2 linked regions of the Drosophila melanogaster genome follow. The protein of the gene in region 1 interacts with the protein of each later gene in a biochemical or structural test. Each region holds a gene or a part of one and is shown in the gene's direction. Other genes may lie near its edges.

Region 1 (4,624 bases):
GTCTTCATCGCTATCGTCTACATCCTCCAGAAGTGGTGCATCCGCTGCCAATGGGCATGGCTTGCTTTCTTCGCCACTGGGGCGCCTCCTGAGCGTGGCAGAAACACTTCGCACCAGTCGTTTGGTTGTCTCTGGCGTACTGAATGGGAATCTGAGATTACCCATGCTAACGCCCTTCATCAATTTTCGGGTTATTGATCTGCCCATATGGCTGCTGCTAGCTACCATGGTACTGCGGCCCTCCACAATGGGCGTCAGTGCGCCGTCGTCCTCTTCCTCTGCGTCCACCTGCGGCAGGATACTTGACAGATTAGGCTCCGACTTATAGCGCGTCGATTGCTGAACGGGCGTTGAGGGATTCGAGTACTCCTCAATCTCCAGCAGTCGGTGCTCGTCCCAGGCAACGCTCTTCTTGTCAATTAGCTGCTTTGCAACCGCTGACATGATCTTTAAAGGCGTCACGCAGCAATCGGCATCGATCTCATCCAGTTCCTGGCCGGAAGCACCAGCAGCTCCATTGCCAGAAGGCGATTCTTTCGATTGCTGTCGACTGACTGGAGCAGAGATACTACCGCTGGTCGCACAGCTAGAGCTGCTGTCCGAAGACGAGGATTCGATCTTGAGGGAAGCAGATGAGATGGATTTCTGAAGCTGATGCCGAGTGTTAGTGGACAGGCTGACGCTGGTGATGGTCGATGAGGTGGGTGTGGGTGGCGTGGGGCTCTGAAAAAGCACCCGCATCTTGGGCGGTTTCACATGCGACATATTGGGCGTCTGGCGATAAACATGCGATGGATTACAAAAAGGCATGCGGTTAGTTAAAAAAACACAGCAGTAGGCGAAGTCCAAATGCACGACTTACCTCGGATCCACTAGCCAAATGAAAACTGGGTGGCACTCTTTTTGGAGTCCGCGACATGAGGCTCTTGTGGAAAATGTGCTTCTTAATGGAATCTCCCAGGGACTTGGCACTTCGAGTGGCCTCGTTGTTCTTCAAACGATTCATTACCACCAGTTGCAACGGTGTGCCTAATCAAATGAAAATTGATTAGTTGATAAATCATAATGATATTTTTTTTAATTATTTTAACTTTTTCCCAAAAATTACCTCGTTATTATGTGCAAACTTAAACATTGGCTATAGATTTCTTACTTCCGTAATATTAACTATATTAATTAGATTCAAGATATTTTGAACCTTAATTCAAGTAATTTTGAAATTACTAGCAGAGGTATTTAAATCATAAGACCCAGAGTGAAAGGGCATTAAAGCATTAAATATATAAAGTAATTTACCCTGCCCATTTTGCTTGTTGAACTGCTTAATCAAACGCCTCTTCTTAGAGGACTCCGGCATGCTCTGGATATGGGCATAAAGTTGCGCCAGCTCCGTGTCCGTATTGTTCGTATTGGTGGCCGCTGCAGTGGCGGCTCGGTCTACAAAAGTGTACACCGTGTTGACCGTCGAGACGTCCGAGATGGACTCGTCAAGCGTTTGTTCCGGCGACATGGTTTTCTTTCTTTTGCGCTCGAGAAAGTACGCCCGGATGTCGGTAGACAGCTTTCCAGGCACCTCGAAGATGTCCAGTCCACGGACGATCATATAGGTCACGATGCTGGACATTTTCTTGGCCTGGTAGTGCAGGACCTCGGGTGGCAGTTGCCTTGGGCAAATTAGGTGCGGTGTGAAGAGAGTGGCCAAGTTATCGGCGCTCATCTTGTTGCTTTTCTCATGCTTGGCCACAGCATGCAGCATCTCAATGATGTGCTGAAGAAGTTCACGATGTTCTTCGGGCAGGAGGAGAAGTAGCAGCTGCACGGAGTTGAGAAGATGTTGTTGACGCTCAGCAGTGGCAGTCGTCTGACCATTGAGCGCCTGGCAGAGTGGGGCTATCTGCAGATGCGCCGGATAGTGGGCATCCGTAAGCAGCGGTTCTGGAAGTTCGGATAGAAAACCTTTGAAAACGGTCGCGCAATCGTGAGCGGAGAAGCCCGCAAGTTCCAAATTCAGTGGTTTGTCGTGCTGGATGTGCATCCGAAGTTCGTTTTGTCGGGACACCGCACCAGCCTTGCGGAATAGGCCTTCCTGGGTGAGATCTGAAACAGTGGATCAGTTAATGAACGTAATTTGAGATCTTCAGCGAACTTACTCTTCTCCAGCATTAGGAACTCCTTGAGCTCTTGCAGATGCATTAAGAATCCCGGATCAATCTGCTGTTGCAGTGTCTCTGTGGGACTATTACCCACGGATTTACTGGCGGAGCCGGCGGCACAGGATGTGGCAGCTGCTCCATGTCCCAAACGATGTTTTTTAGACAGGCGGTTCCACTTCTTCAGCTTGCCCTTGTCCTCGTAGACAATCTCGTGACAGGGGAGATCGAATCTACATATATAAGGGAATCGTTAGTAATGTGGTGAGCAGCCATATACCAAGGTGATCCATCTTACTCATCCGTATTGAGCTCCAATTCAAACGATAGGTGCATGCGCACCAAGGATTTGTATTTTTCGTAATTGCAGCGGCGCATGCGCGTGGCCAGATCGCGATCCCTGAAGTCATTTAGGTTCGCATGGTCCGTATCCATCGTTGCTTCCATGCAATCTGTGTGGTTTATCCGTCGGGACTATCGAGTAAACACTGTATATATCCACGAACAACGACAACAACAACAATAATAACGACTGCCAACGGATAAGGAAAATAACAACAACTTGGAAGGACAATGACAAGTTCGTTTCGTTAACCCGAAGGCTACTTCTTTCACTTCTGTCCGTAATGGGTTCGTTTTGAGGAGTGTATTATTGTCGAAGGTTTGATGCGCGAGCATATAACTTCGCATTTATCACATTTATCGCAAATTTTAACAGCTAAAATTGAAAATTGAACGAGACGCTACCTAACCAGTGTGACCGCGGCTAGAGCGCCAAATTAAGACCTCTTTGGGAGAAAATCGTACGCGCTGATCTGGTAGCACAATTACGTACTACGTTTTTATCTTTTTTTGACAAAATTGTTCCATTCTTTATATATCTATTTCTAAATTCAACAGTGGTAAGAAAGAAGTTGTCCTCCGAGAACACCTGTTCTGATGATTCTACATTCAAAGAAGGAAAATACATCAGAGCGTTGCCAGAGTCCAGCTGTCTCTCCTAGTTATTGCCACCCTTGCCAGACTTTCAAAAGGGGGACGAAAAAATGGTACTCAACACTGCATTTTTGCAAGTTTTGTTGTTTGATCGCGCTTTTTACAATTAATTTAACAAGCTGTATTAAAATGGTTCTTATTATGCGTGTTTCCCCGCCGGAACATGGTCTGTTGTATACGGCAAACAATATCAAGCTGAAACTAGGCGACAAAGTGGTGGGCGAAGGCACAGTTTACATTGCCCAAAAGTGAGCGCTTTAGAGCTTTGCCGGTGTCTGGTATTGCTCTCTATTTATTAAAATCTTTTAAAGTAACTGTTATTTCTTGTTCCTAGCACGCTATCCTGGCAGCCAACTGAATTGGCGGAGGGTATATCCATTGAGTGGAAGCAGGTTAGCCTGCACGGTATCTCTTCGAATCCGAGAAAGTGCATCTACTTCATGCTGGACCACAAAGTCGAGTGGAACGGCGTCTACGGAGATCCTCCCCAGCAGGCAGTCAATGGTCGGAATGGCGGTGGTTCGGAAGCGGAAGTGGACGAGGGAAATGGCAGCGATGAGCACGATGAGGACGACAATTTCGAGGATGCCGTAGACGAGCAATTTGGAGAGGTCACAGAGTGCTGGCTTATGCCGGAGGACATTCACACCGTAGACACTATGTACAGTGCCATGACGACTTGCCAGGCCCTACATCCTGATTCGGCAAACAGTGATTCGGAAGACAGCGATCCTATGCAGGATGCCGGTGGCTTAGAGGATGAGGCTATGGAGGAGGATGATGCATTGACGCTTGGGCGCAACGGCGTGCAGAATCTCAGTTTGGACGACGACGAAGAGCGATTCGAGGACGCTGATGAGTGAAGCATAACCTATTTAAACATCAATACCACGTTTTATACCAGATAAAATGTACGATATATATGTATTGGATTAGATTTTGGAGTAATAAATAGAACGCGGTAAGCGCGATTAAAACAAAACTACGTGCTTTCCTTGACGTTTTCCTTATTACGAGCGATTTCTTTCTCTAAATCCTCTTCGCTAATGGGCTGCGAGAGCTAAATAAATAAAATGTGGTATTTATTAGGTGTACTTCGAGAATATATAGTGGTATATACATACAGCTTGAGCAACATCCGGCAGAGGAAGGGCCTGTCGGTAGGGATCGCCATTGGACGGCACTTTGTCGTAGTTCCAGTAAGTAAAATCTTGAAATACTCCAGTTAGCCGCAACTTTCGGTCGGAGGTATCGCTGATGGGCTTCTCTGTTTCTTGCAGAACTAATCCGCAGTATCCTTCGGGCACTTTCAACTTCTCTCCCATTAAAGGAAATCCGCGCAAGGCGTTCGTCAGGATTCCTGTGCCGAATTCGGTTGCTTCACGTGTGTAGTTGTTGAAGTAATTTTTTACATTCGCTTCCCCATCGCCGTCTATTTTGGCCGGCAAGTAGTGCACGTCTAAATTCTTACCCTTGGC
Region 2 (3,567 bases), on another chromosome or scaffold:
TCGGATACCCGGTTGCCAGACAAGAGGTACAGCAGATTCAGACCGAGCAGCTTATACTTGCTCTCCGATTCGCCAATGATCTTAGCGTAGTCATAGTAATAGCACTTCAGCTGCGCCATGTAGCGCTCGAAGGCGAGCAGGTCCTTGCTGAGCACGCTATGCTCCACGGCCACCTCAAGCACGCTCCTAGCCAGGATCAATTGCTTCTTGGAGCTCTGGGCATCGTTTCCGTCCGTCGGCAGGAAGGCCATCTTCACGAGCGCTACTTTCAGTTGATCCAGCAGCTGGCCGCATTTGACGGTGTTTGGTGGCCGCTTTGACCACTCGGCGGTCAGTTCTTTGTACAGCGATTCCACGTTGGCCATTCTTTAGATTGGTATATTGAAGCTTAAATGTTTTCTGCAAATTCCCAAGATGATTTTCGCTTTTTTTTAGAGATGGCAATTGTTGTAGGGTAAAGCGATAGGACAATCGTTATCGGAACAGTTATCGATTGTCAAGTTACCACAGGGCTGGGAATATTATTTAAGTGTAAGTTTAAGTTGAAAAATACATTTTTTAGACGAACTCTATATAGTTTAACAGTTTACAACTGAAAGCTTTATGATTTGATCCAAGGGGTATTGTATTTCCTTTGTGCTTTAATATCGATATATTTTAACAAACTATCTAATGGAGTTTAAATCTAAATTTTCGCATTTAAGCTCGGACTGTTTATTCAATTAGTGATTGTCTCAGTATAGTTAAAAATTTCGGGTATTGAAATCACGTCTATTTGACCTTGGGCATAAGTTTTGTGTCAAGAATAACTTAAATTATTAAGCGATTCAGAACTCTCATTCTTTGTGGGTCTTTAGATGGTACCGCAGTTGCGTGTTCGTGAAATAGCTTTTGGAGCACTTGGTGCATGGGAACGGTCGCTCTCCTGTGTGGCTCATCATGTGAATTCGAAGATGCGCATTCTGGGTAAAACGCCTTAGGACATTGGGAGCACTTGAAGGGGCGTTCGCCTGTGTTGATTATTAGATGCCTTTTAAGATTGGAAGCCAGCGTAAAATTCGATGTACAATGGGGGCACCGTTTTTCAGTGTGTATTGCAATATGTCCCGAAAGATGCGATACGCTCTTCAAAGCCTTTGCTGCTAAGCAGCAAGTGCTGCTTAAGTGCTGAGTTTATCCAAAACCTCGTTGGGCAATGAGGACATTGAAGCAGCTTATCATTATCACGTCCTTTATTTTGCAATCTATGGTTTTCACAACTATCATAGTCTTCGTCTATTACCTCAATATTGACTTGGCTATTGGATTGATCGCTGTCACAGTCCACGAACTGATCATCGTCTTTAAAGAGGCTCGTTCTACACTAGACAACATTCCCATTGGATCATGCCACTGCCTCGCCAATCTTCAACTACACTTTCGAGTTCGACAAAATGCTGAAAAGCACCTCCATCGATACTCGATTCCCCATCCTCGGAATAAGATACCTTGCGGAATCGGGATTCCTCCATTAACTAAACGTAAAATTATTAGCTCCTCTGGTGGGTTTTTCTAAACTCGAACGCATTTTGTGCATCTTGGCAGCAGGAGGTGCAAAATGTTTCGGGTAGATGATCGCCTTTTTCCACTTTGAGGCCAGTGCACTCGGAAATGATTGACGCTATTGAAGCTTCAGTGCCGTGCTTAACTTCAAAAATATTGAACTCGTTTTCACATTGCCCGAGGCAAATTCGGCACACCAACCCCAACTCCATACCTCCGAAATTGAGTTAAAAAATTTAGCGATCTCGCTTTCAGGTCGGATCGATCAATTTATTGTTTGTTTATTGTGTTAAAGATGCATGCTGATAAGTATCGATACTATCGTGCGGTTAATGGGGACGATAGGTACAACACCACTCACAATAAAGTATTTTTAGTGGAAAGTATAAAAAGAAGACTTCAATTAAAACAATAAATACAATACAATTACATTGGAAGTATTCTGATTGCATTGTGAATGTTGGCCACAAAGTATGAAAACTTTTTTCAGCTTTACTGAATTTAAATATTTCTTAACCATTTCGTTCGCTTTCAGAATAATATAATACCCAGAATGACTTCATAAATTTTATCACATCTTAGTTTGAATGTACACCTTTTAGCGATAGTTTCATGTTTCGGCCTGTGCTGCTAAGCGGTGATTCGCCTGCGCTTTCCAACACACAGCAAATTCGCATAAAAGCGAAACTTGGTTCTTCCTTTAAAAACGTGATACTTGCCTGATAGGATAGAAAGCCGAGATGTCCGACGAGACGAACGCCGCGGTGTGGGATGACTCCTTGCTGGTGAAGACGTACGACGAGTCGGTGGGACTGGCCCGCGAAGCTTTGGCCCGCCGCCTCGCCGATTCCACCAACAAGCGCGAGGAGGAGAACGCTGCCGCAGCTGAAGAAGAAGCTGGCGAGATCTCGGCCACTGGTGGGGCTACCAGCCCGGAACCAGTATCCTTCAAAGTAGGCGACTACGCCAGGGCCACCTACGTGGATGGTGTGGACTACGAGGGCGCTGTGGTGTCTATTAACGAGGAGAAGGGCACCTGCGTACTCCGCTATTTGGGCTATGAGAACGAGCAGGAGGTGTTGCTCGTGGACCTCCTGCCGTCCTGGGGCAAGCGTGTGCGTCGCGAGCAGTTCCTTATCGCCAAGAAGGATGAGGACGAGCAGTTGAGCCGCCCTAAGGCATCCGCTGGTAGTCATTCAAAGACTCCCAAGTCATCCAGAAGGAGTAGGATCTCTGGCGGACTGGTTATGCCGCCCATGCCACCAGTACCGCCCATGATTGTCGGACAAGGGGACGGCGCCGAACAGGACTTCGTGGCCATGCTCACCGCCTGGTACATGTCCGGCTATTATACGGGCCTCTACCAGGGAAAGAAAGAAGCCAGCACCACTAGCGGAAAGAAAAAGACACCCAAGAAGTAATTCCATCTTATCTCATCATCACATCACATCTTTTCGAAAGACTTGTAGATATTAAGAAAACAGAACGATTAAATTTATTATATTAAAGAGTCAGTATCGTCATGGTGGGATCTCGTTTCAATTGCTACATAAATGGAAAAAAAAAATGCCGAGGCAGGCAGAAATTTAGGTTGACATTCAATATGGCCACTTGAGAAAATCAGTGCTTCGATACATTTCGTAGCGAGCGGTTGAGTTTGTAGTATAACGGAATTTTCATAACCTTCGATAGATCGTAGAATGGCGATATTTTAGCTGGCAGTATACAAATCAGAAAAGAAAAAAAACGGATATTTTGATTGGTAAGCAGACTTTCTTACACTGCAATAGATTTCTTTAACTTTGGGTATCGTGTAGCTGTTTTAAAATCAGAAGCTGAAAAATTTTATTGATAAAAAATAAGATATAATGATAAAGAGAGTACATGGTAGTATTGCCTAATTAACAAACTAGCTAAAAATGCGCTTGGACCTTTTAACCGTCCATATTCAACACTGCCAAATGCATCCTTTATTTTCACAGGCTTACGATTTGAAATATAAGTGGTAAATCCTTCTCTTTTGCA

Evidence for each region.
Region 2: the proteins of icln (region 1) and Smn are reported together in a solved structure, tested with the Drosophila melanogaster proteins (one study listed by BioGRID).

Annotation. Positions count from the first base shown.
Region 1 is NT_033778.4:17,587,758-17,592,381, forward strand, and holds icln (icln), read left to right. Parts: upstream 1-3,206; 5' UTR 3,207-3,275; coding exon 3,276-3,394; intron 3,395-3,480; coding exon 3,481-4,009; 3' UTR 4,010-4,124; downstream 4,125-4,624. Other genes in the region: RhoGAP54D (Rho GTPase activating protein at 54D), read right to left, coding at 1-774, 863-1,029, 1,297-2,097, 2,151-2,383, 2,449-2,597; CG30105 (uncharacterized protein), read right to left, coding at 4,129-4,206, 4,271-4,624. UniProt on the Drosophila melanogaster protein: Involved in both the assembly of spliceosomal snRNPs and the methylation of Sm proteins.
Region 2 is NT_037436.4:16,579,898-16,583,464, reverse strand, and holds Smn (survival motor neuron), read left to right. Parts: upstream 1-1,917; 5' UTR 1,918-2,013; intron 2,014-2,077; 5' UTR 2,078-2,282; coding exon 2,283-2,963; 3' UTR 2,964-3,067; downstream 3,068-3,567. Other genes in the region: Rpn12 (regulatory particle non-ATPase 12), read right to left, coding at 1-365. UniProt on the Drosophila melanogaster protein: Core component of the survival motor neuron (SMN) complex that plays an essential role in spliceosomal small nuclear ribonucleoprotein (snRNP) assembly in the cytoplasm, is required for pre-mRNA splicing in the nucleus and acts as a chaperone that discriminates target and non-target RNAs of Sm proteins.